Linked DNA regions of Notamacropus eugenii. The main gene of each other region encodes a partner of the protein of the gene in region 3 in a complex. Links are inferred from orthologs where the notes say so. Each region holds a gene or a part of one and is shown on either strand. Other genes may lie near its edges.

Region 1 (7,361 bases), on a different chromosome or scaffold from region 3:
GGCCTATATACATATCTATAAATTGGAGATAATATCAGTAGTACCTCAGAGGATTGTAGTGAGGATCAAACCTTAAAAATGCTATCTTACTAACATAACTTCTATAGATTAAAAAGTTTAATTTACTCAATTTTGTACCAAACTAATTAATCAGTCATTCCAAAAATTGTTAATGATTTTGAAACTTGACATAAATCCCTCAAATTGTCAGTCATCAAAGTTACCTGTCTCTTGCTACAGGGAAAGAATTCCAATTAAAAGATTTAACAGGACCCAAAAATATTAAGTCATGAACTTATACATGTATGTATGTAGTTGTCAAGATCCCTAAGATCATTTTTGATCTAATCATGTTTTCCTCATGTTTTGAAAGTCTTAAAAACAAGCTGATGTAACTTACCTACTGTCAACCTAAAATAAGTTAACAAGACCATATACAATTTACCATTTTTTCTACTTAAGACTAAAAACTAAGCATTAACTTACATTTAACACTCAGCAAATATACTTACATCTTTTGCCATGTTACCAGATCCTTGAAATCAATTCTTTAGATGTTCACTCTCCAGAGAAGAAACGATAATCTTCTAGGGAATAAAAAGGCAAAAGAAGATATAAATTCAGTGTAAGATAATGGTTGGCAAAATATTGTATCTTAAGTCTAAACTGATACATTTCTCCCTCCAAAGCAAAGCAAAATGCATTCTGGGATATCAGGAACCTCCTCCCCCTTCCGATGCATACATGTATTCGATCCTGAAAGGAATCTACAAAAGCAACTTGGCTACTTCTTTTAAAAATAATTTATGGGACTAACGACATGTTATAGACAAATGTCAGTGTCTTATACAAAGGAAATTTACAAACTCTTACGCTCCCAGACTACTAACGATACCTCTAGCTCACCCCACTACAAACTAATGTCACAGGGTAACAAATATAACCATCTATACTGATAGGCAGAACAAGACTATGACGAACCTAAGACCCTCACCCCCACCACGATTAGATATGATGGATACAAGCAAACCCTCTAACCCTCACCCACGCACACGCACGCCAACCTATGCCCATGTCTATATATCCAGACTCAACCCATCCTTACACTGCCAGCACAAAAATGCACGATATATGATTCCCGCTAGCCCCCTTCCCCCAAAATATACTGAAAGGTGGAAGGGGAGGCCTTGCCCCCACTCCAGTCAGCCGCCAGCTCCACTGGCCCAGCCCTGAGCATGCTGAGAACTCTGACAGGTGTGCTTCCAAGGGAGCTCCAGGGTTAAAGTAACTGCTCTCAGGCCACAAGGCGAGCCCCGGTCCGGGATCGACTCCACAAGCCCCAGGTCCATCTGGGATCTAGATCTTCCTGACCTGTCACTAGGCCTCGGAACCACAGCCCGAGGAGGGCGAGTTCCCCCCACCCCACCCCCAGCACCGGAACTCGCAGCGAGCTCTCCACCCTGCTGTGCCATTTCAGCACCCAGGCTGGTGAAGGGGCTGCCCCCAGCCCCCTCCCCTGCCGGGGTGTCCCGCAGGGAGCTGGCCGGAGCAGGCCCCATGGACGGACACAAGCAGCAGCTGCGGCGGCGGCTCAGCCGCCTGCCCGCCCGCCAGCCCGCCCGGCCGGCCTCACCGGCCTGTGCCTCCCCCCCTCCGCCCCCCCTCCAGACCCGGGCACCACCCTGGCAACAGGCGCCATCCTGACCCTCCGCCGTGGGACCCTGCTCCCCAAAGGAGGCGCAGCGATGCTGATGGGGCGATGGGGGGCTGGAGAGAGGCCTACCACCCCTCCACCAGCTGGGCATTCCCCCCCACCTTTCTCCGTCCCATCCCCCGGACCCTTCCCCATCTGCAAAGGCAGAAAGGGGGTGAGCACCCCAGAGCCTCCGTCCACGCCGGCCCCCTCCCGTCTTCCCCTCCTCCCCGGAGCCCCGCATCTCAAGCCGGGGGTCAATTCACCTGAAGGCGTCTTCCTCCCCTCCTGGCCGCCCCCCCAAGCCAGGCCGGGAGCGCAGCGGAGCCCAGAGCCCACCACCAACTGCAACCGCTACAATGAGCAGGAGCAGCAGCGTGGGGTGGGGGGGTGGGGGGCAGAAGGATGGGAAAGGGGGGGAAGGCAAGGTCTACCCACTGCACATGTGCAACACACAGCACCAGGAAAAGAGACCCGAGGAGACACCAAGCCGTGTGCACGGCGCCCACACACAGGCGAGGCGAGGCGGGGGGCAGGGCAGAGGGGGGCCCGCCCAGGGGACCAGACCGGCCGCACGGGTTCCCCATCCCCCGCGGCTGGCCCTGCCGGCCAGCCTCCGCTCCGACCGCCCCCCCCACCCCAGGCCAGCACTAACTCTCCACACACACTCAAGTACCCGGCGGACCTCCGCCATCCCCGCCCCCGCTCCATCCTTCCCGGGCTCCACAAGGACCCCCCCCCATCCTCCCGCATGGGGCTCCAAACCCGGCTGCATCCTTCACCCCAGCCCCCACCCAGGCTGCAAGGCCGCCCCCCCGGGCCCCGCGCTGACGTGCACACGCGCCCCCAGCCCGCGAGGCCGGCTCCGCGTCCCACACCTGGCTCGCCTGGTCCCGGCGCCCGCGCCGCGGGGGGTGGGGGGCGGAGATGGGGAGCGGGGCAGCGCGGCCCCGCCGCTGCAGCCCCCGCGCACCCAGGGAGGGAGAGATCACGGGGGAGGGGAGTAGATCCCGGCAGCTCGGAGGCCGGCCTCGCTTCCCCCGACCCCCCTCCCCCCCGACTGCGCTCCCACTCCTCCCCACAAAATGGGGAGAGTCGGCCAAGGGGGGGATCAAAAAAATTGAAACTTACACTTTGTACTGGGAGCGTCAAGCCGGCGTGACGTGCCGGCAGCGCGGTGACGTGCGGCCACGAGCGGCCCCATAGAGACGGGCCCAAAGTGTCAGTTTCACCCCCGCGCGCTCCGCCTCGGGGAGCCGGGCGCGCCTGCGCGGCTTTTTCGCGCCTTTGGCTCGCTCCCTCCCTCGCTCCCGCCAGTTCTGCTCCGCCCCCGCGCTGGGCTCCCGCGGAGGGCTCGGTGTGCGTGCTCGCATGTGGTGGAGTGTCTGGCTCCGCCTGGGAGAGCGCGGGAAGCGCGCGGCGCCAAAACGTCAAAGTGGGAACCTTGAGCCCGCCGGGGATCGGCCGGGCGGTGCGCTTGGGGGAAAAGGAGGAAAAGAAGCCGGGGTGGGCTGCGGCTCGGCGGGGCGCCCCGGCCGACGGCCCCGCCATCCGCAGAGCGCGCCCCGCGGCCCGCTCCCACGCCTGCGGCCCGCGCGCCGCCTCCATTCCCGACAGCTCCGCGCATCCCCCGGGGCCGCCCGGACTAGCCGCAATGAGGTCATCTGAAAGGAGGCGCGAGGAGAGCGGCGGGCCGGGCCGGCCCCGGGCCGACGGAGCTGCGGCCACGTGCTCAGCTCCGCGGGGGGCCGGGGGCCGGCGCGGTCTGGCCTCCCATAAAACCGGGATAGAAAAGGCACCCGGCCCTGGCAGGTGCGGTGAGACGTAACGAAGGTTTGCAGAACACTTTGGGGTTCTAGGCCCGAGGCGCCGGGCCCCGGGCCCGCTTCGTGACTGCCCCGCGCTCCCCCTTACCGGCGGGGTGTCACCATTGGCCCGTTTGGGGCCGGCTTCCCGACCCCTCCCTCGGGTCCCCGGGCCCTTCTCGGGCCCCTCCGCCGAGGACGGGCGTGGCCCACGTGGGGTGTGGTCACTGTCTGACAGGACGGGGCTGCTTGGCCTGGCTGGACTGCGCCCGACCCCCCATCCCCCTTTCGTTCAGCTTCTGTGTCCTTTCCTGACCGACCCACCGTGTTCAGGCCTTTCCTCTATTAGGAGGAATACGGTTGGCTTCCTTCTCCACCACCTCTCTCCAAGGTCACTGATGCCCTTGACCTGTCAAGGTCACTCATCCGCCAAGCCCAGTGACTCTTCTCCTTCTTCATCTTCCTCCACCCCTTCCCCAGGGGCGCCGTGCACCTCCTCTACACTCCCTGCTCTGCATTCACAGGGGTCTCTTCTGCTTCTGCCTCCCGCGGTTGTTCGTTGTCATCTACCTTTTCCGATGTAATAACTCAGACTCACAGTACTTGGATGAATAAGTGCCTTCTCACCACCATCAGACACGACATCCAGGACAACCCAGGGATTCTGCTGGAGGCATAAACCCCAGGGAGCTCACCGACACAAAAAATCCACACACGCCCCAAAATATTCATAGCAGCAGTTTTCGTGGCAACAAAAAATTGGAAACAAAGTATCTTCCCCCCTTCAGCGGGTGAATGACCAATCAAATTGTGGAATATGAGTGAAATGGAAGGTTACTCTGCTGGAAGAAGCAACATACATGATGAATACAGAGAAGCATGGAGAGACTTGGATGAACTGATGCAAGGGGAAGAATTCAGAGCCAGGAAAAGAAGATGTACATAATGACTACAATAAGAACAACCACAAATTAATCAAAACTGGCCCCGAAGAAGAGATTAAAAAACAAAGGATATCTCCCTCCCCACACATTCCTTTGCAGAAGCTGGGGATACATAGATGTAGAACCCTGATTTTTTTCATTGTGTTAATCAGTTTTACTGGGGTCTTTTCTTTTTCCTTTAAAAAAATTATGTTATAAGGGATAACTCTTTAGGGACAGAGGAATATAGGGACATAAGGGAAAGACAAACATTATAAAAGCAAGAGATATTCATAAAAATCTACTTTTTATAAATGGTCTTAAAGAATTGCGTGAAGTCCAGAGGTCATTCTTAGTTACACAGATAATAACTATCAGGACCAGAACTTGAACCCAGATCCTCTTGACTAGAAGTCTACACTATATGGCATAGTGTAGACTTCTAGTAATAGTAATTATTAGTAATAGTTAATAGTAGTAGTTAATAGTAGTAATAGTAGTACTATCTTCATTATCATTATCATTTCACACATGCAGACTGAAGTTCAAGAAAGTTAACTGCTTCACTCATGCTCCTATCTAGCTCTAAATCTATGTTCCTATGCTCCCCTAGGAACATCTTCAGCCTTCTTTAATTCTCTCTATATACTCTCTCTTGGCAAACTCATTCACTCCCATGGCTTCCTTTAACACGTCTATTCAGATGGATCAAATTCCAGTCCCAAATTTCAGACCAGAAGCAACATCTCTACCTAAATGTCCAGCCAATACCACACTCTAAACATTTCACATCTTCCCTCCCCCAAAAAAAAGCCATCCTCATACTTATCCACCAATTTCTATTGATGGCACCACCAGCTGGATGTCAGTCACCCTGGTTTTCTTATGTATGATTCCTCCTCCTCCCTCAACCCCTACAAACTATCATTTTGATACTTCAGCATTACTTCTACAATCCCTGTTCTCCTTTCATCTAAACTATTAAAATAGACCTTTAAAAATATTTTTTTCAATTAGCAAGCATTTATTTTCTGATTTTCCACCTCCTGAGGAGAAAAGAATCTTACATGACAATATTGTATAATTTACTTAGTACCATACAGTCAAATTAGGAAAGGATTACTTTTTAGAGCAAGAAAAAAAATAATAAAGAAAATTTTCTGGAGGAATGAAAGGTCAAGCAAGAATTTCACCTAGGAGATGAAATAGACTCAACTAGCTTTCTTCTTTTGGTCTCCCTCTGCTCAGTTCTGTCCAACACTCCACAGCCAAAATAATATTCCTAATGTGTAATTCTGATGACATCCTTCCTGTTCTCAAAAACTTTGGGGACTCCCCATGTTTACAAAATAATACAAACTCCTTAGCCTGATGCTTAAGGTCTTCTATAATCTGGCTCTATACCTTCCCAGGCTTGTTCTGCGGTATTCCCCTTTGCACAACCTTCCAGCCAAAATGAACTACTGATCATGATTCCATAGGTCACTATCTTGTTTCCCAATACTTCCCAAATCCCTCTCTACCTACTGAAATCCTTCTTTTCCTTTAATATGTATTTCAAATGCCACCTCCTCCATGACCCTTATCCCACAAGTTAGAAATAATTTCTCCAAACAAAGTGGATGCTATTAATTGGGGAATAGCTACTGTGATACAGAAAAGTACAGTAAGACTCATGAATTGATGCAAAGAGAAGTAAACAGAACCCAGAAAATAAAAAACACATTAACAACTATATAAATGAAAGAACTGGACAGCTAGGTGTCACAGTGGATAAAGCCTGCAATCAGGGAAATATATCTTTCTGAGTTCAAATCTGGCCTCAGACACTTATTTGCCGTATGACCTTGTGCAAGTCACTTAACCCTATGTGCCTTTCCTCATTTATAAAATGAACTGGAAAGGGAAATGACAAACCCCGCCAGTATTGCCAAGAAAACACCAAGGGGGATCAGGAAGACTCGACATGACTGAACAAAATGAAAGCTCAGTCAATTAGCAATTTTTAAACACCTACTATGTTCCCGGTTCTGTGCTAAGCCTGAGGATACAGAAAAAAAAAAAAAAAAGAGGCAAAAGAAAGTCCTTGCCCCTAAGCAGGGTCTGTCAATAAGTGTTTATTAAGGGCCAACTAGTGCCAAGATCGGTGCTAAGTGCAGGGAATACAAAAAACAAAAACAGTCCCTGCCCTCAAGGATCTTACAACCTAATAGGAGAAAACATCACAAATACAAAGCTGAAAAGCAGGATAGGAGGAAGGGTGGGGAGGAAGAAGTTTGGTTGGTGGACTAAAGAGGCCAAGGAGTGAAGCTGGTAGGAAAGTTAAATGGAAGCTTTGAGCGGAGGAGTGTTTTGCTCCACCCTCCTGCTCTCCAATCTGGGAGACAAAGAGTAAGGAAGGGACTAAAAAAGGCGTGAATACCAAAACTGATGTAATTTCTTAAGATGATGGATTTCCTGGTGAAGAGGTTGCCTGGGATCCTGATGATAGGCAAACAAAGACATACAAACAAGCTACATGCAGGTTAAATAAGAAATAATTAACAGAGAGTATGCACTACAATTAAGAGGGGGTGGGGAAGCCTTCCTGTAGGTGATGGGATTTTACTTGGGACTTAAAAGGAAACCTATAAAAGGAGATGAGGAGCATTCCAGGCATGGGCTCAGCCAGAGAAAATGTCTGGAAGCCAAGACATGAAAAATCTTATTTGGGGAACCGCAAGGAAGCTGGTGTCATTGGATCAAAAAGAAGAATATCTAGTGGGGTGTGATGTATAAGAAGACTGGAACAATAATTGGAAGGTATTAAATTATGTAGAGCTTTGAACTCCAGAGAATTTTGTATTTGATCTTGGAGGCAATGGGAAGCCACTGGAGTTTAAAAGGTGACATGGTTGGACTTTCACTTTAGAAAAATCACTAGTGGCTGAAAGGAGAATG
Region 2 (7,567 bases), on a different chromosome or scaffold from region 3:
ATTTATAATTCCAGAGCTTACAACAGTGCTTGTCCTATGCTAAACACTTAATAAATACATCATCTCAGGAATGCCTTACAACAATACCAAGGTAGGAGACTACTCTCATCTCCTGATAAAGACACCGAAGCTGAGAGAAGTTAAATGATTTGCCAAAGACATACAAGCTAATGAGTTTCACACAGGGTTGGAACCAAGGGCTTCCTGACACCATCTAAAAATTACACACATATATTCACAACCTGAGTCATTACCTCAACTGGACATGAGTGTACTAACAAGGACAAAGTAATTTTCTGTTACTGAAAAGTAGTATAATAGAGACTAGTTTTTCTGCATCCCAACTGTAAAGTTTAGAACTATATTACAGAGTAGCTTTGTTCAGTTAAGCAGAGCCCTCAGTTGTATTATTTAATTTTAGTACAGAGAGAAATTCGATCATTACATGATAGAAGACTTTTTATTCTTTCACAATGTAATGTACATTATAATTGCCATGAATGTAAAATCTGTATGCTGTGTCTTACACACAGTCATTATACTTTTCAGTCAACATTACAGTTGGAATTTAACAAAATAATTCATTTTTGTAGCTCAATACTGTCTTTTTTGATTCATATTTTCTAAATAGGTCAACGAACAGCTTTACTTTATGTTTCTGTAATTTGAGGATATTGAAATTCTTGGGGTCACAGCAGTTGCAGTACAAAGGATGATCATCGAGGAAAAATTTTAATTCCATTAAATGTATTTTTAAATGACAAGTTGTATGACAGAATGGACCTAATTTATACTAGGGCCAGAACCATATTCAACATCTCTTTCAGTCTGAAATAACATGGAAGAAAAATGAAAGGAATGTCTAAAAACTTAATTTTATATACAGGAGAAGAAAAGAATAAAACCAATTTGGTTCATAAAGTGACTAATAAAAATATCCAATAGAAATAGGCATTCTCAATTAATTGATTCAGATATTTCTTGCTATAACATAAACCAAAAAATCCCTGTGCTTTTAGGGGAATTCCCACTACTACGGAAACAACGTTCACGTGAAACATCAAACACCAGACACGACATAACTAGGTAGGTAGTAAACGATTAATAGATTATTGAGTGAAATAGTAAGCTAAAATTCCCGAGTCAAACAGCAAGAATGGGATGTCACTTTACTGAATGAGTATATGCTGGAAGGTATTTAAAACCGGTCTGCTATTCCCACAGAGGCGTTTCTATAACTTTAATGGCAAATTCCTAACCATGGTTTTGCAATCTCCCACACTGTCTCTTAGTATTTCAAGAGGGGTGGTGCAAGCCAAGGCAGAAATAAAATTAAGTTCACTTTAAGCTAAAAGCAAAATTTATGCTATCAACACTCACTTGTAGAAAGGCAAGTCCACATAAAATTCGTTTGCAAAAAGGTTAGGAAACAGAGAAAATTAAAGTACAAGGCAGCTTTAACAGCAGACAAGTGTATGCACATTGTGTATACAAAACGAATGCAATCTGTGCTGATGAATAAGCCCATACATACGAACTTTCTGAAGACCTCATCAGAACGACTGGCTCTCAAACTGGTACTGTCTCTATGACCGCACACAGTTTGGGCTTTCCAGACCCCCTGTGGCTCTACTTCCACCGCCTCGGAACTTCCCAGGGATCCCCCGGGGACATTTCAAGCCTGATAAGTTTATGGTGGGGGATCTCAGAGGGCTGCAACGAGTGGAACTGTAAAACTGGGCTGGAATCGGCGGCCAGGATCCCCCCACCCCCCACCCCGCCCCACTAGGGCTGGGTCTTACTCCTCCGACTGGCTCAAGGTCAATCCAAGCCAAGAACTCGTCTTTCCAAAGTCCCGGCGGGCTGCGGCGCTCTTCCGAGCCGGGCTGCAGGGCTCGGTGACTGGACTTCGTTTTCACAGCGAGCGGCAGGGACGCCGAGAGCATCCTCCTCACGCACGGCGTGTTTCTGGACGCGCCGCCTTCATTCCCTCGGGAAAGTGTCCCACCGAAAGGTGGAGAAGGCCGAATCTCTGAATTCCATTCCTCTCTCCCGGCCCAGGACGGCCTCCTCGAAGCGACTTCTCCAGCCTAACTTCCTCAGGGTGAAACAGAACCAACCGCACAGCTAGGGAAGGCTTCGCTGCCCGGTGCCTGGGCCCGGTGCCTGGGCCCGGGGCAGGGTCTGGGCAAGGTCTGCGTCCGGCAGGAAAGCCGCGGAGTTGGGTTGCCTTAGCCAAAAAAAGCCCCACTTCGGGGGGCAGAGTCCGGACAGCCCGCATTCCCCGGCCCCCGCCATTCCTCCCATCCAACGGACAAACCGAGCTCCCCCGGCATCCCACCAGGAACAAGTACCCGGAGAGCCGGATTGGAGGAACGCCCCAAATCGTGGATAAAGCCCCTGAAATCACAGGGAAATCCTGGAGGGCGCCCGGAAAGGGACTCTCCGCCCCTCCCCCCGAGGCGCGCGCCCAGGCGGAGTGGGGAGGGGGGCGGCGGGTTCGAGCCCCGGCCTCGCCTGACAAAGGGCCGGCCCGGGGCGCCTCAGCCCGGGGTGAAGAACCGGCCATCAGGCGGCCAAAGGATGCAGGGGCGGCTGGGGGGTCCCGAGCCCTTGGAACGACGTGCTGGCAGCGGCGGCGAGCACCGCCCCCATGGCAGAGGGCACCCCCAGGCCGGGGCGGCGAGGCCTAAGCCGCGCGCCTGCGCCAGTCCCCGTCTCCGGTCGGGAGGATACCCGAGCTCCCGGCCCCCGCGCAGCTCTTACCGCCTTGAGATCCAGGACCCCGTCCTTGGCCTCCTGCAGCAGCGACACGAACTTCGTGGTGAGCAGGCCCAGGCTCTTCTCGTGGCGGCTACTGCCCCCGCTCCCGCCGCCCCCGCTCCCGCCGCCTGGGGGCGCTGCGGGCGGCGGCTGCGGCTGCGGGGGCTGCCCCTGGCCTGGCGACGGCTGCTGGCCGGAGCTCCCGGGCTCGGCCGCCGCCGCCATGCCGCCCGCCGCCGCCTCCGGGCGCGGAGCCCAAGCCCTCAGCCCCGCGCGCCCGCCGAGCGCAGGTGCCCCGAGCGGCGCCCCCACCGCGCGATCGCCCCCGCCCCGACCCCGCCGCGCTTCCGCGAGCTAAACCGCCTGGGCTGCGGGGCTGGGGGCGAGCGAGGGAAGGAGATAGGAGCCGCAGGGTGGAGAAAGGAGTTTAAATGGCAGGAAGTGACGCCAAAGCCCGCCGTTGCCCGGAGACGCTTTTTTGTCCTCCGACCCGGAGTGAGAGGGGAGATGGAGAGGAGGTGCTGGAGGGGATGGTGCGAGGGCCCAACTGAAGGGCGCGATGAAGGATTTCACGTCCACACCTTTCTGTTCTGGGGCTCCGACGGGCAGCTGAGCTTGTCACCGCCTTGGAAAATGACCACTGGGGACAAACAGAAATTGGGGCGGGTCCGTGTCCCGCGTGCACCTCTGAACGCTGGAGTGGCCCCAGAAAGCCCGAGGACACCTCTTCCCCAGCATCTTGTTCAGCTTCGGAGAAGCCTTCGTTCCTATAGCCTGTCGGTGGGAATTAGGACACGTGTCTTGTCCAATTCCTTTATAAATTAATCCACCAGAAAGCGTTCATCAAGTGCTTACGGCGTTCCAGGCCCTGTGCCAGACCCCCCGGGGGGACAGATACAAAGTGTAGAACAACCCCTGCTTTCCACTCCACCTCCCCCCCAGCTGTTGTGATGGGCGAGCTTCTGGACACTGGGAATGGTTTTCCTTTTAACCCTTGGAAAGCTCCGGGGTTTAATCCCTTTGCACCTTAGCACGTGGTTACAAAAATGTTTATGTCTTCCTCCTTAAAAAAAAATAAAAGCCTTCCCTTGATCCTTCCACCAGATCTAGTTATAGCCTGTCCCTAACCCTTTGGTGCAAGTAAAAGAAGTCTTGTAGGATTGTCTTGTTTTTACATCAAAATCATATCCAAATATGTCCTTTTCTCTTCACCTGCGCAGTGAAACTTCCATAATCCTAGTTTTTCCTCTTTCCAGGAAAAGAAGGGATATTTTTATTTCTTCATTTCTTCTCTGGGGCTGAACAATTACAATTACATGTTGTTTTCTGCTTTGTTTTTCATGTAGTGGCTAAGTATGTTGTTTTCCTGGATCCGCTTATTTCACTTGCATCCATTCATGCAAGTCTCAAGTTTCTCCATATTCTCCATATTCATTGTATCTTATGGCAAAATATTATGTTACTTAAATGTGCCACAGTTTGTTTAGTCATTTCCTTAACTGATGGGCAGCCAGCCACTGGTTTGAAGTTTGAAAAATCATTATTAAGTTCCTTGACAAACACTTCCAAATGCAATGATTTCATGGCATCCTTTCCTTTCTCCTCAGCCTTTGCAGTCTGGCTTCTGCCACCACCATTGAAATGAATCTCTTCTCTCAAAGGTCACCAATAACCAATTAATCACCAAGGCTGTTTTTTGTTTTGTATTGTTTTGAGTTTTCATCCTCTTTCTCTGTAGTTTTTGAGAAGGTGACTGCCTTCTCCTACTGGATGTTTTTCTCCCTTGGTATCAGATAAATCTTATTTTCCTGGTTCTCTTACACAATTTCTAATTTTTCCTTTGCTGGTTCTTCCTCAGTCTTCCTTTTGCCTTTAACTGAGTGTTCCCTAAGGTTCTGTAAGCTCCCTCTCCCTCCCCCTCTCCTTTTCTATCTTCCTCTCACTATCTCCATATTTATGTATTATGTTTTTTGTATGTCTGTACATGCATTCTCCTTTGGTAATCTCCACACTTTTGTCTCTTTTGCAGATTAACTCTCAAATACTCTATCTGTAGAGCTCCAAATCCATATTCTAACTATAGATCAAGTTTATTATCTTAATCCCTAAAACTGCTCTTCCTTCTAATTTCACTATTTCTGTCAGCAACACCACCTCATCCATTTTTCCCAGTACCTTTGAGGCAACATGGTATAGAAGAAAAGAGTGGCTCTAGGTTCTAATCACAATTCTGAGATTTTATACCTGTGTGAACCTTGGGTAAGTTATTTAACCTCCTTGGCCTCAGTTTCTTAATCTATAAAATGAGAGAGTTGGACTAGATGTCTTCTGAAATCCCTTCCAGTGGTAGATCTGTGATTCCGTTAGGAAAGGATATTGTTCTTGGAGTCAGCAGATTTGAGTCCTGGGCCTATCACTAAGCATGTTACTGAGCAAACCCCTTTCTGAGGTTGTTTCATTTATAGAAGGGGGATCATAATGCTTCTGGAAGGAAAGTATATTTTAAACCTTAATGTGCTACATACACATGAACTCTTATTTTATCTTACTATAGGATGTCCCTCCCCATCTCCTCCTCTACTTCCATTACCCTAATAATTATTGTAGCCTCCTAACAAGTCTTTCTGCTTCCTTCCATCTCTTCTTCTTCCAATCTATACTTCATGATTCAGTTACAGTAATCTTCCTGGGGCGTAGACATTGCTGTTCAGAAACTTCAGGGACTCCCTATTGCTTCCAGAATAAACAAATTCTTTTTCCTGACATTCAAGGTTCTCCATGATCTGGCACCACACTACCTTTCCAGCTTTATCACAGTGCCTAGCACTGTAACTGGTATATGGTATATACTTACTTGATAAATATTACTGTCCTCCATGCATTTTATCCTATAACCAATGGATTACTCTAAGACTTTTTCCCCATATCTTTGCTTCTAAAGTTGATGTTGTTCCAGTACTGTCTTCTACACTCCTCTGCCTACTGAATTCCTACTCATCCTTTAAACTTCAAAGCTGCCTCTTCAATGGAATCTTTTCTGGTTCACCTTCTCAGTAACAACTTTTCCCTTTTGATGTAACCATCATTATTGTTGAGTACCTTATTTCATTCATAAATATGGTGAAGACCTCTTGGAGGGGGATCCTACTTCATTCATCCTTAGGCAGTCTCATTTTCGGAGAATCTAATTGTTAGAAAATTTGTCCTTACATTAAGCTATTATTAAGCCTATATTGCCTCTTTGCAATTTCCTCTCCGGAGCAAAGGAGGAGAAGCTTAATACCTCTTCTATGTGACAGTCCTTCAAGAATTTAGACAAGTGACATTTGCCTCCTAAATGTTATCCAAACTAAATAGCTCCAGTGTGAGTCTGATAAGACATACTCTTCAGTCCCTTCACTATCTGTTCATTCTCCCCTGAATTCTCTTCAGTTTGAGTTAGGAGCAGGTGATTCAGAAGTTAATGTGATACTCCAGATGTGGGCTGGGTACAATGGAACTATCATATCCTATATAATCCTATATATTAGACTGCATTCCAATTCATGCAGCCTAAGATCATATTAGGTTTTTTGATAATCAGGTGACATTTGCCTTGTATTGAGCTTGCAGGCCACTAGAAGTTTAAGATCTTTGGTAAACTGAAGTGATTTCCTCAAGAAGCTTTGCTTCTACAAGTGGCAATGAAAAAAAACCTCACAGTATAAATCAAAATGAATGCTAGTTGTAGAGAGATACACAAAAGTACTAAGAGGAATGTTGGAGTGACTGGAGTCAGGTAGGATTATGATGAAAAGGCTTCATGGACAAAGCCATTTTTCAATAGGACCTTGAAGGAAGGAATGTGGTTTGGCATAGTAAAGAGGAAGTGTGGGAAATGGCATTTGTGATATATGATTTCAAGTAGGAGCAGGGGAGTAAATAGATTTGCTTTCTTGGAGGTAAGACTACAAGTCTGGCAAAAGATGGTGGCACTTCCGTAAAGAAGAGGAACAAAGTTGAGACTTGAAACTTTTATCATTGAAGAATTTGAGAGCCACTAGGGTACAACGAGGAGTAACATAAACCAAACAATATTTAAAGAACATTGTTCTTGCTTCTGTCTGTTTGGTGTATTAGGTGGGCAAGTTCAGAAAGAAGTGATATAATCCTTTTTGATATATAGTGATTAAAGGATGAAGGAAGGATTAAAACTAATGGAAAACTCAGCTATTATTTTTTACTTCGTCAGTTAATGAGTAAATATTAAGTGCCTTTTATGTGCCAGGTACTAGGCAAAAAAGTCCTTACCCTCAAGAAACTCACAATCTAATATGGCAAAGTACAACCAACCAAACAAGCAAGGTATATGTAGGTTAAATAGGAATAATTAAAAGAGTGGAGGCACTAGAATTAAGAGGGGTTGGGAAAGGCTTCCTGTAGAAGATGGGCTTTTAGTTGGCGAGTTAAAGGAAACCAGTTAGGCAGAGATGAGGAGGGAGTGCATTACAAACATGGAGGCATGAATTTCCAGAGAAAATTAAAATGTTAAAAGAAGGGGACCATTTTATTTGCAGAACAGCAAGAAGGCCACTGTTGCTGGAAAGAAGAATATGTGTTGGAGTAGGTTGGAAACTAGAAAGGTAGGAGGGAGCTGGGTTATGAAAGGCATTGAATACAAAACAGAGATTATAACGGATTGTAGAAGATGAATTCAGATTAAAATATTTAATGTTGGTAACACAACATCTACATAAAAATGCTCAGCTAGAGCTGTCAACAAAGAACTGGGGGTGGACCACATATGAGTGGCAAACTGTGTGAT
Region 3 (7,597 bases):
GGAAGGGCTGACAGCACAATAAAGGTTTGGGAGAAAAGCGGGCGGGGCTGGGCGGGCCCAGAAGCCCGGACTGCAGCATTTAAAGGGCTGTCAGTCGGAGGCGGGAGGGGGAGACGTTGCCCCTCTGCCCCCCTCCCTCCGCCCGGGCAGATCCGGAGCCCCAGGGCGGTGACAGCGGTGGACTTCGACTCTCCAGCCCGAGTGGTTCCAGCGGGGCCAGGAGCAGCGAGCGGGGGCCCGCGGGCCCGGGAGGGGTGGGGGCGGGGGGCGCAGGCGCCTCCTCCCCGGCCTCGCGCCCTGGCTCTCACCTCCAGACTGTAGGTGCTGCGGATGGCCATGAAGTCGCCCAGGGCTTCGGCCGCGCTGCCCTCGTCTAGGTTCAGCTCCTGACACAGGGCCTGCAGCGCCTCCCGGGCGGCCCCAGCCCCGGCCGCCCCCAGGCTGCGCAGCTCGTCCTGAAACATCCCGCCCGTGGCCCCGGGCTTCGGCGGCCGGCGCTCGGCGCCTACGCCGCCCGCGTCCGCCTCACACTCCCGGTGGCCACGGCTCCCCCACAATCCCCCGCGCCAAAGCGCGCGAAAACTCTGTCCCGGAAAGGGGCGGGGCCTTGCGGAGCTGCGTGACAGCCCCGCCCTTCGAGTCCCTTCTCTCGGGGGCCGGCTCACCTCCCGGACCCCTCCTGCCTCCGTCCGAACACTGCTGGGAAGAGGGTTTCGGCCTGGGAGGTAGCCGCTGGTCTGTCCAAAAAGTTCAAACTGAGCTTCTGCTCCAGGGCCTGTCGGGAATTGTAGTCCGCATCCTGTCGTGGCGGACGGGAGGGGGAGGAGGACCGGCATGTCCGGGCTGCTGGAGCCCCCTGAACCGGACCTCGTGGGCTGAGTTTCTCCCACCCGCCTGGGCCCCCCCTGCCGAGATCCTTCTCCAGGGGTGCTAACGATAGCTCCAGAGCCCATTGTGGGCGCTTACGTCGAGGACGGCAAACGGGTTTGGTTGAGTTGAGAAAGTGATGGAGAACATACGAATAACGTAGATTAAACTAAAAGTGTGTAGGGAGCCCCCTCGCCCTCCCAGCGCATCAGCCCGTCCTCCAGGCCTTCCAGGCAGCTTCATCCGTGCGCCCCGGGGCGACGATGCCTCGGCCGGGACGCTGATCCTCTTGTGTGTCACGGACCCCCTTCTCAGAACGGGAAAATAATGCGAATTTCAGGTGAAGAACTGCAGTCCTCCACTGTCTTCGTCCGAGGATGGGAGACAAGGGAAAATGAAGCACAGGAGGACGTTGGAAGCCCGGGGGTGGGGAGGGGTTTGCTTTGTTTTTGTTTTGTTACCTGAGCAGGAGTTCGCTCTGCGGGGTCCACCCCCACCTCTGACCTCCAAGTGGAGCCTGCCAGGCGCAGAGACCTCGCCATCTCCCAGAGGGGACCGTTCGAGAGTTGGAAGCCCTAAATGAACACTCTTTACTGAACCAAAATCCGCCCTCCAGCTTCTTTAGGTCGGTCCAGATTTCATTTTCTTTGTTAAAAACAAAAACAAAACAACACTGATGAAACTCCTCGTTTTAAATTTTCAAACTTTACATTCTATTCTATATAATCATTATTCTTATTTTGAAATCCAAAGGATCTGCAGCCAATGACGAGTCGCTGAATAATAGGTAGCATTTACATATCGCTTTTTAAGGTTTGCAAAACCTTATCTCATTTTATAGGTATATGTGGATATTATGTGTGTATATACATAAATATATGTAACGGTGTGGCACCTATCTGTATGTTAACTCATTTGAGTTAGGTGCTATTATCATTCCCATGGTATGGAGTCAGTTAACTAGCATTTATTAAGCACCTCCTTTGTTCTGGGCACTGCTAAGCACTGAGGACACGAAGAAAGACATAGTAGTACCTGGTCTCAAGAAGTTCACCTGGGGAGGGGAGCAGAAAACACAACAGCCATGTATGAATATAATATATGCAGGGTAAATTGATGATCTCAAAGAGAAGGTCCTAAGATTAAGGAGGATTAGGGAAAAATTCTTGAAAAAGGTGGGATTTTAACTGAGACCAGAAAGAAACTCGGGAAGCCGAGAGGCAAAACTAAAAGAGGAAGGAGAGCATTTCAGGAATGGGAGACAGGCAGTTAAAATGCTCAGGAGTCATAGAGTATGTATGGGGGGATAAGGTGTAAGAGGACTGGACAGGCAGGAAGAGGTGGGGTTTTGGAGGCCTTTCACAAGCAAATGAAGAAAATGAGAACAAGAGAGGTTAAGTGACTTGCCCACAGTCACTCAGCTAGTATCTGAAGCAGGCTTCAAGTTCAGATCAATCCAAGTCCAGTGCTCCAAGACCACTTGGCTACCTCCAAATCAAGAACCATAAGATTTAGGGACCAACTCCTTCAATTTACAGATGAGAACTGAGGCCTCAAACTCAGAACTGAGGACATCAAAAAGTTTGTAAGCCATAGAGTTAGGATGTGAAAACAGGACCTCTGATTCCAGGTCAGATCTTTCCCCTTATCTCAGACTTTATCTTAAAGGAGTTGTTTAAAATGAGACAGCGATGCTTTAAAGGCTGATTATTTTTACCCACGATATAGTGAAGGTGGACCCAGGAAAAATCACGTAGAAGGTGAAGAGGAAATATTTGACCAACTCTTAGCAGCTACTTTCAAATCACTGTCCCTAATTGAAAAGCAATTTGATCTTCCCTGCTCCATAGCATGCAGCTAGTGGTAAAGTGGATAGAGCACGGGCTTAGAATCGGGAAGATGCATCCTTATAAGTTCATGTCTGGTCTCAAACACTAGCTGGGTGACCCTGGGCAAGTTACTTAAGATCATTTACCTCAGGTTTCCTCATCTGTAAAATGAGCCAGAGAAGGAAATGGCAAACCACTCCCATATCTTTACCAAGAAAACCCCTTATGGGGGTTAAACTTATGAGAGTTAAACACCATTGAAACAACTCAACAAAGACAACACTCTATGGCAGAGAATAAAAAAGAAAAGGAACTGAAAAACAAAAGAAAATCAAAGGATGCACTGCTAGACCTGTCAACTAGAAGGATCATGGTATCCATTTAAGAAGAGACTAATTGGAGTAGGGAAATTCTTTGCAATTTTCATGTAGGTATCTCTCATGTTTTCATTTCATCTAGACTGCAACTACAAGATAATGTGGTTCATAAAAATGAACCAATTACAAAGGAAGCATTCCAACCAAAGATCCCAAACGTAACAGGAAATTTGAGTTTGTTTGTAGCATGGACTAGGTAAAGTATAGGGAGGAGTATGAAATAAAAATGAAGAGGTTTAGTGGTGCCAGATTGCTGACAGTACCTGACTAGGGATGAGTCAATAATAGTATGCTTACTCAATGAAATAGCTCCATTTTTCTTATATGTTGTCTTATATGTTACCTTTGACTTTCATTCACCCCCTGCCCTTTGTTATTATCAGTCTGATTCCTTTGCTATCTCTAAAGTTCATCTACTCCATTGATCTCTGCTTGTGACCATCACACAAGATGAAGAACTGGATGGATATATGCTCTATGGTTTCTCCTACTTCTTGCTGGTCACTGGTCTAGGAAAAAAAGGCCCTCCAGCAGTCTAGAGCTAAGCTATTCAGCCTTGGAATGAATACTGTGTAGAGCTGAGCTGAACTGAACTAGCTGAGAATGAGCACCTACAATATACCATCTCCCTCTATAATTAATACGGTCCCAGGTCTACATTGACCCTTGCCTTGACCATCAGGCAGGACCAAGGACATCTGCTCTGCTACCTCAAGTGTACATACCTCCCCATCCCCTGCCTTCTTCTCAAGGACTGATAATCAAATACATTACTAGTATTGCCTTATGACAATATCTCTGTGCTTCAGTTGGGTGAGTATGTTGAAGTTTCTCTCACTATAGCTCCATGCTCCCTCATATCCATCCATGTTAGCCCTAACCAAAACTCTCTGGAGTCATTAGTCTATTTTTTTCTACTTTTCTATTGTACTCAGTCAACTGTTGGTGCAGTGGATAGAGCACCAGACCTGGTGTCAGAAATCCAGCCTTCGACTCTTACTAGCTGGGTGATTCTGAGTAAGTCACTCAATCTCTATTTCCTCAACTGTAAAATGGTAATAATAATAACACCTACCTGGCAGGGTTGTTGTGAAGATCAAATGAGATGATAATTTTAAGAGCACTTAGCATGAGGCCTCGTCCATGAGAGGTATCACATAATTACTTGTTCCCTTCTTCCCACTCTAGAATTCCTGTCTTATTTTTTCTAATTTTTCTTTTTAAAATTTATTTGTTTGCAGTTTTCTACAATCACTTCCATAAGTCTTAGATTTGCTCCTCCTCCCTCCCCACTCCCTCCCCAGACAGACAGCATGCAATCTTATATGGGTTCTACCCATACATTCTTATTAAATACATTTTCATGTTAGTCATGTTGCATGGAAGAATTAAAATGAATGGGAGAAGCTATGAGAAAAACCCAAACAAAACAAAACATAACACAAGAGAAAATATTCTACTTCATTCTGCTTTCCAATTTCATAGTTCTTTCTCTGGATGTGGATGGCATTTTGCCTCAAGTCCTTTGGGAATGTTTTAGGTCCTTGCATTGCTGTGAAGGTTAAGTCTACCAGAAAAATTCTTTGCACACTCTGGTTGTTACTATGTACAATGTTCTCCTGGTTCTGCTCCTTTCACTCAGCATCAATTCATATAAGTCCTTCCGGGCCTCTCTGAAGTCTTCCTGTTCACCATTTCTTGTAGCACAATAGTATTCCATTATATTCATCTACCACAACTTGTTCAGCCATTCCCCAATTGATGGGCATTCCCTTGATTTCCAGTTCTTGGCCACCACAAAGAGAGCTGCTATACATATTTTTGTACATGTGGGATCCTTTCTCATTTTTATGATTTCTTTGGGATTCAGTCCTAGAAGTGATATTGCTGAGTCAAAGGGTATGCACATTTTTATAGCCTTTTGGACCTAATTCCAAATTGCTCTCCAGAATGGTTGGATCAACTCACAGCTCCACCAACAATGAATTAGTGTTCCAACTCTCCCACATCTTCTCCAACATTTATCATCTTCCTGTTTTGTCATGTTAGAGAATCTGATAGGTGTGATGTGGTACCTTGGGAACTCCTGTCTTATTGATAATGTTGTCCTTTATATTAGACCAATACCCCCTAGTACCTCAAATTTCTTTGCATATCTTTTATATTTATGTGTGTACATATTATTTCTCTCCAAAGGGCAGGAACAGCTTATTTTATCTCTTTAGTCCCCATACCTAGTACAATGCCTGGCCAGGTATGGGCCCTTCATGCTTGTTAAATTAAATAGGATCAGCTATTTCTCTTGATTTCTACCTCCATGCCATTTGGTTAAATTCTCACCTCATTCATCTTTTTGCCTTATAATCTTTTCCATCTCCTAATCAATCACATATCCTAATTTCAAGTTAAGCATTCTCACACTGATCAGCATACTCCCTGTTTAGGAATCCAGTCACTCCAAAGCTTAAACTCATCCTAGCCTGGAGGCTCTTTGCTGTCTGACTTCATTTTTTGGTATTCATATCATACTGTCTAGGTTGTAGCTGGGCTGATCTTCCCCTAAATATTACTCATACTTTTCCCTCTCCTTAGAATGGTTTCTATATCATCTTACTATTAGCTTTTGTTCCTTTTTTGACTCACTTTTCAGAATCATTCCTTACCTTGTTTTGAGTTCCTTAATACATACAGGTATATTAAAATCTATAACCTTTATAGTCTCTGGTTGATGGAGTTCTATTAGTCCTACTCTAACAGAATATAAGTTCCTTAAAAGCAGGATCTATTTCACAGTTATCTATAAAACCAGTTCCCAGCACATAGGTGCTTAATAAATGACTATGGATTGAGTTTGGTTGCTGCTATTCTCTTCTTGGGAAAGCTGCTTGAGAGTAGGGATTCTGTTTTTACATCATTATTATCCTTCTTTGGACCCCTCCCTCCCAGCATGGAGTACAAGTCTATGACAAATGCTTTAATAATCACATATAAAATGAAAGGGATTTTTCCATAAACACATTTTGCCTATTACCTTAGAGTTTGCTCATTTTATCTAATACGAGCTTAGGCTTTCTGAATAGAAAAGAATAATGAAACGAATCTACCCTTGCATGGACTCCTAGACCTAAACACAAGACAACATTATTCATCAATCACGTATATTGCTATGTTTATTTAAACCCTCAAGGGATATCTAATAGTGGAGTTAAATAGTTGCTGTTACCATATTTAATATTTCAGTGATCCTTTAGAACAAATGCAGCATTGCCCCTCAGAAAAATCCAAACACCTGACATTCCAACGGTCAAAAAGGGGCAGTTGATCTTGACAGGGGAGGGGGCCAGCCCTGGGCTCACCATTCTTGCTGGGAGAAGAAATTGGCTAGGTAGTTTTTGAGGGGAGGAAGCAGTAATGGGTTGCTTGGAAGTTAAAATTCTTGAGTTCTGGATCAACTTTTACTTACATATTTTGTAGTCTTTGAGCAGGAAAAAGATAAATTGAAGAGCACACAGACTTGAAAACAGTATAGTTGCATTTTTTTAGGTCACTGTCCAACAAATCAAAGGCCATCTCCAGGGGGTTATTTCTGGCTACTAAGATCTTCAAGTGACTATCTAGCCACAGAGGGCATAAAGATCAAGGTACTTCCCATCAGCATTTGCTATACTTAATTCCAAAATTAAGGAGGTAAACTTTCCTTACCAAAGCCTCAAACCCTAGCTTTGCAACAACAGGAGTCACTTAGACATAGGCCTGGTGTTTAATTTCATTTAAGGAGTCATTCTAAAAGAGTAAAGAAATCAGTGCCTGAAAGGGAATGTCAAGCTTTAAGATGCAACAAGCCAAATTATCCAAAAATTTCACTTTCAAGTACTTCAGACACCTCAGTTAAGAGGAGTTTTGGACACTTGTTATTTTAGGCTTTTAAAAAGGCTACATATATAAAACCTATTTCTTTCATTCTTTTCCTCTCATGCTAGTTTTCACAGCCAGGCAGTCAAGTTACTTCCTACCCCAAACTAAATTTAACCTAGCTCATCTTCCTTTATCACCACAGTTCTTTGACCTATCCCTTTTGTTCTTTGGATGAAAGTGGAAAAAAAAATGCTGTATAGCAACCTCTTGTTAAATTGCTTGAATTTACTGTAATGATTAGAATCAGGCATAAAATTAAAAGTGGGCCATCCTACATGATGTGTATGAAGCATTTATGTTTCAAGTATTTTACTGATGAGCACAGTCAATATGAAAACAGCACACACACTGGAGCTTCAGTAATATTGCTATTATTTAAGATATGAAGGCAGTGTCATCTCTCTTTAGGTGGTGAAAAATAACATTAAAATATAAATTTTCATATCTAAAAGCAAATTTATTTGTCACTAAGGTCTAGAAATTTTACATGCTAAGACACTTACAAAAGGGAGAGCAGCCAGTTTGTTCATGGTATTATATGAGTGAGTTCCATCCTGTACTTCCTTCAATACTAGAGTATTTTCACATATATGGCAACTGATCATAGTG
Region 4 (7,098 bases), on a different chromosome or scaffold from region 3:
ATGCTTCAGAGAGCACAATTCTGAAGGGCTGGCCACGTGGTTTGAATGCAAAACATATGCTTGCCAGAAAGCATATTTTATGGAGAACTCACACAGGACAAGCATTCACGTGGTGGTCAGAAGAAGCAATAGGAGGACACTCTCAAGGTCTCTCGTAAGAACTTTGGAATTGATAGTGTGAATGGGAGACACTGGCACAGGACCGCCCAGCATGGCATGCCCGCATGAGAAAGGGTGCTGTGCTCTATGAGCAAAGCAGAACTGAGGCAGCACAAAGGAAATGTAGGATGCGCAAATTTAGAGAATCCATCCCAAATGTTCACACGGACTATCTGTGCTCGGCCTGTGGCAGAGCATTCTGAGCTCATATTAGCCTGATCAGCCACAGTCAGACACATGGAAACTTGACTCCACGGAGATGTCATCTTGGTTCTCCTTGAAAACAAAGGACAACAACCAACCAACTATTGCTAGGCACTTTTGTAATTAATATCTCATTTTATCTTCATAACAACCCTATGAGGTAGGTGCTATCATGATCATCATTTTGCACTTGAGTAAACTGAGGCAAAGAGAGGTTAAATGACTTGTCCAGTAAATGTCTGAAGCCAAATCTGTACTCGAGGTCTTCCTAACTCCAGCCGAGTGCCAGCAGCCTCTAAGTCATCCTGTAAGGCTCACCCTCCGTCATTCAAGAAATTCTGGGCTTCAGGGCATTTTTGGTCCCATTGTAATACCTAAGCACATCGGACAATCTCCTTTATTAATGAGGAGAAGAGAGTTTTCAAGTAGTTGCCTGGTGAAGAAATGGTGTGGAGCTCCCTCCTAAATTCACCTGGCGCTGATGTGATTAGATTTCTGTTGTAAGGTCAAGGGTTTTCTTTCTTTTGCTCTTCCTTCCTTCCTTTCCTTCTCTTTCTTCTTTCCTTCTTTTTCTCCCCTTTTCTTCTTTCCTCCCTCCCTCCCTTCTTTCCTTCCTTCCATTCTTGTTAGGGGTACTCCAGAGTGAAGAGGCCTGAGGGAAGTTAATTCTACATGAGATGGCAGGTGCAGAATGGTGGCAAAGTTGGCCGGAGGCTCTTGATCCAGCCTTCCAAACTTAGTTTGTCATCTCCCCATGAAACCTTTTCTGAATCCTCACTCCATTTCTTACTTATCTCTCCTCAGAGTACCTATGACACTGACAATCTGTAACATATGCTTTAATACTGCTTTTATAAAAGAAATTTTTACTGAAGTATCAGCGACATTTTTCCTAGCGTTCTTTCTCCTCCCTTTTCTAGAGAGCCATTTCATAAACCAAATATTTTTAAAGAGAAAAAAATCAACAAAATTGATCAATACATTGAAAAAGACTGATGATATGTGGAATATCTGCTTTTAATTTCATCACTTCTATTCTCTGATTTCCATTTTATCAGTTTCTCTAATTTTCAATATATTTTTGTTGGTTTTCAGTTTTTGAGAATTTCATACTCTAGTCACTAATTCTCCTTTTATATTTTGTTAATATATGGTTTTTGAGAAATAATTTTTCCACCTCTTGCCAAGGAGTGGCTGTGAGCATCTTCTTATAAACCTTTTGAGAAGCAATGATTGTTCTTTGTTCAACTTGTTCAGCCTTTTCCCGGTTGATGGGCATTGACTTAGCTTCCAATTTAGAAAAGTACCCTAAAAAAATGCTGCCAATAAATACTTTGGTGGATACAGAATCTTTCTTCTTATAAATGACCTCCTTGCCTTGTGCTATATGCCTAATAGTAGAATCTCTGGGTCAAAGACAATGAACATAATTCCAAATTACATGATTCCAAATTGCTTTCCAAAATGGTTGTACTGAATCACAGACTTCACCAACAATACCTTAAAGACCCTATCTTCCCTAAACGCCTCCTCTGTTAACTGTTCCCATCTTTTGTCATCTTTGTCATCTTATAGATGGTAAACTGAGACCTCAGGCTTGTTTTCCTTTTTTCTTATTGTTAATCATTTGGAATATTCTTTCATATGGTCATTTGTAGTTTGCGGTTCTTCTTTTGAGAATTGTTTTTCCGTATACTTTGATCAGTTATGTAATTGATGCTAGTTGGCAAAGTAGATAGAACGCTGGCCCTGGAATCAGAAGGGTCGGAGTTCAAATCCAGTCTCTGACACTTACTAGCTGTGTGATCTTAGACAAATCACTTGACTCCACCCTGTTTGCTTTAGTTTCCTCATCTGTAAAATGAGCTGAAGAAGGAAATGGCAAAGATACCAAAGTGGGGTCATGGAGGATCAGACACTATGGAAACAACTCAATAACAATATGAACAAAAGTCATTCCCTACTTGAGGGTCATATCAGCAAAACGCTGCATAACAGCAACATTCTATGTATAAAGAAAATACAACTGCTTTTCTGTTTTTATTACACTAGCATGATGTAATATACAATAATACAATATAATGCAACACAATATATTTTATACCGTTTTGTTTTGTTATTCATGTGAGCATATCTCGTCTTCTCAAAGTAGATAATACGCTGCTTTAAGGTGAACATCATGTTTTATATTTCTTCTGCAGTCTGTTCAGTGCCTAGTGTGGTACAAGGTATTCAGTAACAAATGTCAGTGGATTGAATAATTAATCTCTGCTGTGAATTCATTTCTCCATTTATTAGACTAGGTTAAAACTATCTTCTATCACAGATCTATACCTTTTTTCCCCACCTCCAGTCTTTCCCCTTTTCAATCTATCTTCCCCATAGCTGACATATTTACAGTCCTAAAACACTGTCAGTCCCTTACCTGGAATGCATTCCCTCTTCACCTCCAGCCCTTAGAATCCGTTCCTTCTTTCAAAGTTTAACCCAAGCCCCAGTTTGTTCTCAAGACCTACGCTGAACCCCTCCCCGCCCAGTAGTTTTCACCCTCCTCACTGGAAATTATATATAGTTTGTTTTATATATGTGTGTGTATATACATATATATATATATATGAAAGGGTAGTCATGTTTTCGTTTTTGTATCCCCAGTCCTTAGCCTGGCACATAATAGGTACTTATTAAATGAATGAAAATTTATTCAAATTCACACTATTTGGAAGTGTGAAATGGATATTAATTGGTTCCAGCACTAGGGAAATATGCAGCGCAAACTCGAAATAATAAGAAGCCTTCTAGGGATCCGTTATTCACACTCTTCAGAACCTAGCTATATGTAAAAATGAAAAGCATATATATTGGAGACAAAGAAATTCCCTAAAAATAACTGTCACCGATATGATCTTGGGCAGATCAGTTAACTTCTCTATACCTCAGTTTCCTGAAGTGTAAAACGGAGGCAGCCACATGGGGGCCGTGTTCCTGGCGCCAGACCTGGGTTTGAGCTGCCTCAGACACTCACTCGCTGTGTGGTCCTGGGCCAGTCATTTAAGGGTTCTCGGTCTCAGTTTCCTCTGCTGATAAAATGGGTTGCTGGGAGGACCAAGGGATACACAAGCGTCTACGTAAAGCCCCTTACAAACTTTAAAGCGCTGTTATTGTTGCTGCGGTTGGGTTCGTCCTTCGTTTTCAGAGAAGACCAGGACATCAGAGAAATGATGACGTGACTTGCACTGGACTTTGTTTGGAGGGAGGGAGGCTGTGCAGGAGCTATTATTGTTAATACGATGAGCGGGGGCAGATCGGGTCGGCGAGCCCGCGGCGGGCCTCATCGGAGACCCCAGGTGCCTCGGGGCTTTCGGGCAGGTGGATTCTTTTCTCCTCCCGTCCAATCAGTTTAGCGACCAGAACATAACGCTACGAAGCTGTTCTTACTGTTAGCCATCAGTCCCACACTCTCCTCGGTCAATTGCACGGTGGTTGGGCGGGGGAAGGACCACAGCCGCGGAAGACTTCCTTAAAAGGGAGTGTGTGGGGGGGAGCAGGAATGGTCTCTTCCAACTGCGATCTTCCCCCTCCTCTCTCACTCCTATGGAACATTCCATCCCAAAGCTCGAGCGCACGCTCCTAGTCACGTGGTGACCTACGCCCAGCGTATTGACGACTCTACGGCCGGGTTGCCAGGGGAGGGAAACGGCGACGAGGGAGGGAGGGGGAGCGGTGGGGGGAGGGCTCAGCCTATTATGGGATGCGGCGGTGGAATGGCGCTGGGCGCGTGATTTTGAACAAACCTGGGTCTGTGTTTCACAGGCGCCGCCGCCGCCGCCGCCGCGGCTGCCGGGAGCGGAGGGAACGCGGGGCGAGGAGGAGGCGGCGGCGCCGCCGGCTGTGGTGGGGGGGTGAGTGTCAGCCCCCGGGACGGGGGGGGGGGGAGGCGGCGAGGGAGGGGGGACGGAGGAGGGGGAGACCCCGCGACTGCCGGGGATGGGGGGGTTGTTGGCGCGCGGAAGGGGGGGGTGAGCTGTCAGTGGAGGGCCGGCGCCAGCGCGGCTGCGCGGTGTGCCGGGCCGGGCCGGGCGGGGCCGGGCAGCGACGGGCAGCGACGGGCAGCGGCGCGGCGCCCGCGCGGGGGAGGGGGCCCTGCAGCCCGCCCTGCGCTCCTGCCCCTTTGTGTGCCATGGCTCCCCTCCCTCCGCCGGGACCTCCCCTTCGCCTCCGAGTAAAGTTTGGGGAAAGAAACGCTCCTTCCCTGCTGGGGGGTCTCCCCCCAAAGCAGAGAGCTGCCCCGCGCCCCAAGCCCGCGAGCGTGCCAATCCTGCCCGGCTGGTGTCAGAAAAAAGGGAGTGACAGCTGGGGGCAGCCCCTCCCTGCCCCGCCCAAACCCTTCCCTTCCCCCTAACCCCGCCGGAACTTCGGGAGGGTGGGGGAATGGCAGACCTGCTCATACCATAAGTAATAAAATTGATAGTAAAGTTCACCTTGGTGTGGCGCTTACTGTGGGGGAGGCACTGTGCTGAGCGCTGTACAGCTTGGACACGGACACGGTCACCTGTGGGTGTTTGTGTGTGTATGTATGTATGTATGCATATATACACAGATAAAATAACAGTGCTTGTTATTTTATAACACAGCACAGTGTGCTGTGTGCCAGCCACCGCGCTGGGGACATGCAGCTTATACTATGTGCCAGGCACCGTGCTAAGCGCTTTACAGTTGTTATTTTTATATACACATAATGGCTAACAAACATACGTATATATGGGTGTATGTGTATACACCATATATAAAACAGTTAACATAGGGCCTACTGTGTGCCAGGCACTATGCTAAGTGCTTTACAGCTAATGCACAGACACATGTACATATATGTGTGTATGTATACTTATTCATATATACACAGACAGAAAATAGCTAACAGGGCCTACTATGTAGCCAGCATTGTGTTAGGTATCTTACAATTTATATACATACGCATAAAATAGCTAACATAGGGCCTACTACGTGCCAGGCACTGTGCTAAGCGCTTTACAGTTTATACAAACACACACATAGACATATGTATGTATGTAGATACAGCTAACATTTGTAATGTTTACTATGTGCCAGGCCCTGTGCCAAAGGCTTAGCAATCTGACGTGTATATGTATACACACATATTCATGGCTATATATGCTCATGCATGTCTATGTCTATATGCACTTACATACTTTATATGTGAAGCACCTGCCATATGCCAGGCACTAGCGATCCAAACATTTCTACTGAATGTTGTAATTCAACATAATTTTCTCTTTGGTTGTTGATTATCTCCCACTTTTCCCCTGTAGATTTTGGTTGAACATAGTTTTCATGTTGTCTCCTTAGTGAGACTGGGAGTTCCTTGAAGGTAAGGATTGTTTTTTCCCTTTGGGTTCCCTGCCGTTAGCAAAATGCCTGGCTCGTAGTAGGCACTTTTATCGGTGCCTGTTGACTGGTTTGCAGCTAGAGGTTGAAAAAAAGAACGCTTCTTTGTATTTGAGTCGATCTTCGGACTGCATTTAGTAAGAGAGGCTAATTAGGGAAACTGACATAATCCGGAGGTTTTGTGTATGTTACTGTATCGGTGGCAAATGTGTATTTTAAGTTAGAATTTGATACTATGGAAATGATTGTCAATTTCAGCTCAGGGTAGATTTCCCTTTTTTAAATCAACAATGTTAATAGCTTTTGGATCAGATGGCGATTAGGTTTACATTTCTTGAGGTCCGAAAGCGACCCGGAAGGTTGAACAGCAGGTCTGTTTTATGGGCAGGAAGGAGTAAGTCAAAGGAAGTGGACTGGGGACTGATCGTCTGGAACGTGTAGAAAGTATGCATTTTAAAGATGGGATTTTGGTGACCCCGTCTGTCTGAACCCGCCTTGGCCAAGGTCCCGCCCTCTCTAGGCTACCCCAGGAGCTGGTCCTTTCCAGCCGGGGGAAGGGGGAATGTATGCCCTGAAGGTGTTAGCGAGCTGAGGTGGTCATGGAGAAACGCGCACAGCTCCCGCTGGCCTTTCCCCTTGGAAACTTGAAGTTTGGGTCGGGGGAATCCCTCCCGGCCTCGCGCGGCTTCCTACCCCAGCCCGCGGCTGCCGGCCGGCGCTCGAGGGCTCGGCCCGCGGCGCGTTTGAAGGTTGGCGCGGCGCGGGGGCGTGTCCCGGGCGGGGGAGGGGCGCCGCAGAGCCGCCGCGGGCCCGCGCCCGCCGTGCCGCCGCGCCGCCGCGCTTCTGATGACGACGTGAAAATGGCGGATCTTTCGAAATCCAATCCCGGCCCCTGACATCCCGGCGGCGGCGGCGGCAGCGGCGACAGCGGAGGAGGAGCCCGGCTGCGCCGCGAGCTGCCGGCCTGGGACACCGGAGAGCCCCCGCCCTGAGCCGCCCGGAGGTGAGGGCGATGCGCCGCCGCTGCTGGGCGGGCAGGAGGGGGAGGGGAGCGGAGCGGAAGGGACCGGGCTGGAGGCCCCGGGCCGGGCGGGCAGAAGGGCTGGGGGCCCGGCTTCCGAGTCGTGCGGCCCGGGTGCCGGAGCAGCCGCGGGGCCGGAACCCCGCGGTCAGCCGCGTGTGTGGTGCCGGGGGCGAGGGGGGGTTGTGGTTGTTGTCGTTGTTGTTGGCCCGGGAGCGGGACGTCAAGTGCGCGGCGGGGGGTGGGAGGCGGGGTGACCGGGCTCCTCGGACCGGGGGTTTGAGGAGGTGACATTGGTCGTGCGCTGGGGC

What was found.
Region 1: the proteins of RBL1 (region 3) and TFDP1 are in contact, whole or in part, in a crystal structure (PDB 5TUV), measured with the Homo sapiens proteins. The link is inferred for Notamacropus eugenii from reciprocal best matches to the Homo sapiens genes RBL1 and TFDP1. Residues at the interface, in NP_002886.2 of Homo sapiens: Tyr1004, Phe1006, Asn1007, Ser1011, Leu1014, Ile1017, Asn1018, Ile1021; in NP_009042.1 of Homo sapiens: Pro260, Phe261, Ile262, Thr290, Phe291, Glu292, Ile293, His294, Asp295, Ile297, Glu298.
Region 2: the proteins of RBL1 (region 3) and E2F5 are in contact, whole or in part, in a crystal structure (PDB 5TUV), measured with the Homo sapiens proteins. The link is inferred for Notamacropus eugenii from reciprocal best matches to the Homo sapiens genes RBL1 and E2F5. Residues at the interface, in NP_002886.2 of Homo sapiens: Ser1000, Ala1001, Leu1002, Leu1003, Tyr1004, Lys1005, Phe1006, Asn1007, Ile1017, Met1020, Ile1021, Gly1024, Glu1025; in NP_001942.2 of Homo sapiens: Met162, Ile190, Ala192, Pro193, Ser194, Gly195, Thr196, Gln197, Leu198, Glu199, Val200, Pro201, Ile202, Pro203, Glu204, Met205, Tyr213, Leu217.
Region 4: RBL1 (region 3) and LIN54 share a complex: the UniProt entries of both Homo sapiens proteins name them as parts of the DREAM complex. The link is inferred for Notamacropus eugenii from reciprocal best matches to the Homo sapiens genes RBL1 and LIN54.

The regions. Positions count from the first base shown.
Region 1 is NC_092877.1:207,440,046-207,447,406, forward strand, and holds the start of TFDP1 (transcription factor Dp-1), read right to left. Parts: upstream 3,010-7,361; 5' UTR 2,825-3,009; intron 2,809-2,824; exon of another isoform or gene 2,572-2,808; intron 2,228-2,571; exon of another isoform or gene 1,960-2,227; intron 588-1,959; 5' UTR 525-587; coding exon 513-524; intron 1-512. UniProt on the Homo sapiens protein: Can stimulate E2F-dependent transcription.
Region 2 is NC_092875.1:317,362,736-317,370,302, reverse strand, and holds the start of E2F5 (transcription factor E2F5), read right to left. Parts: upstream 3,004-7,567; 5' UTR 2,989-3,003; coding exon 2,767-2,988; intron 1,947-2,766; coding exon of another isoform or gene 1,803-1,946; intron 1,725-1,802; exon of another isoform or gene 1,535-1,724; intron 1-1,534.
Region 3 is NC_092872.1:427,722,637-427,730,233, forward strand, and holds the start of RBL1 (retinoblastoma-like protein 1), read right to left. Parts: upstream 3,020-7,597; 5' UTR 954-3,019; coding exon 309-953; intron 1-308. UniProt on the Homo sapiens protein: Key regulator of entry into cell division. Directly involved in heterochromatin formation by maintaining overall chromatin structure and, in particular, that of constitutive heterochromatin by stabilizing histone methylation.
Region 4 is NC_092878.1:150,599,523-150,606,620, reverse strand, and holds the start of LIN54 (protein lin-54 homolog), read left to right. Parts: upstream 1-4,094; 5' UTR 4,095-4,111; coding exon 4,112-4,262; intron 4,263-6,626; exon of another isoform or gene 6,627-6,769; intron 6,770-7,098. UniProt on the Homo sapiens protein: Component of the DREAM complex, a multiprotein complex that can both act as a transcription activator or repressor depending on the context. In G0 phase, the complex binds to more than 800 promoters and is required for repression of E2F target genes.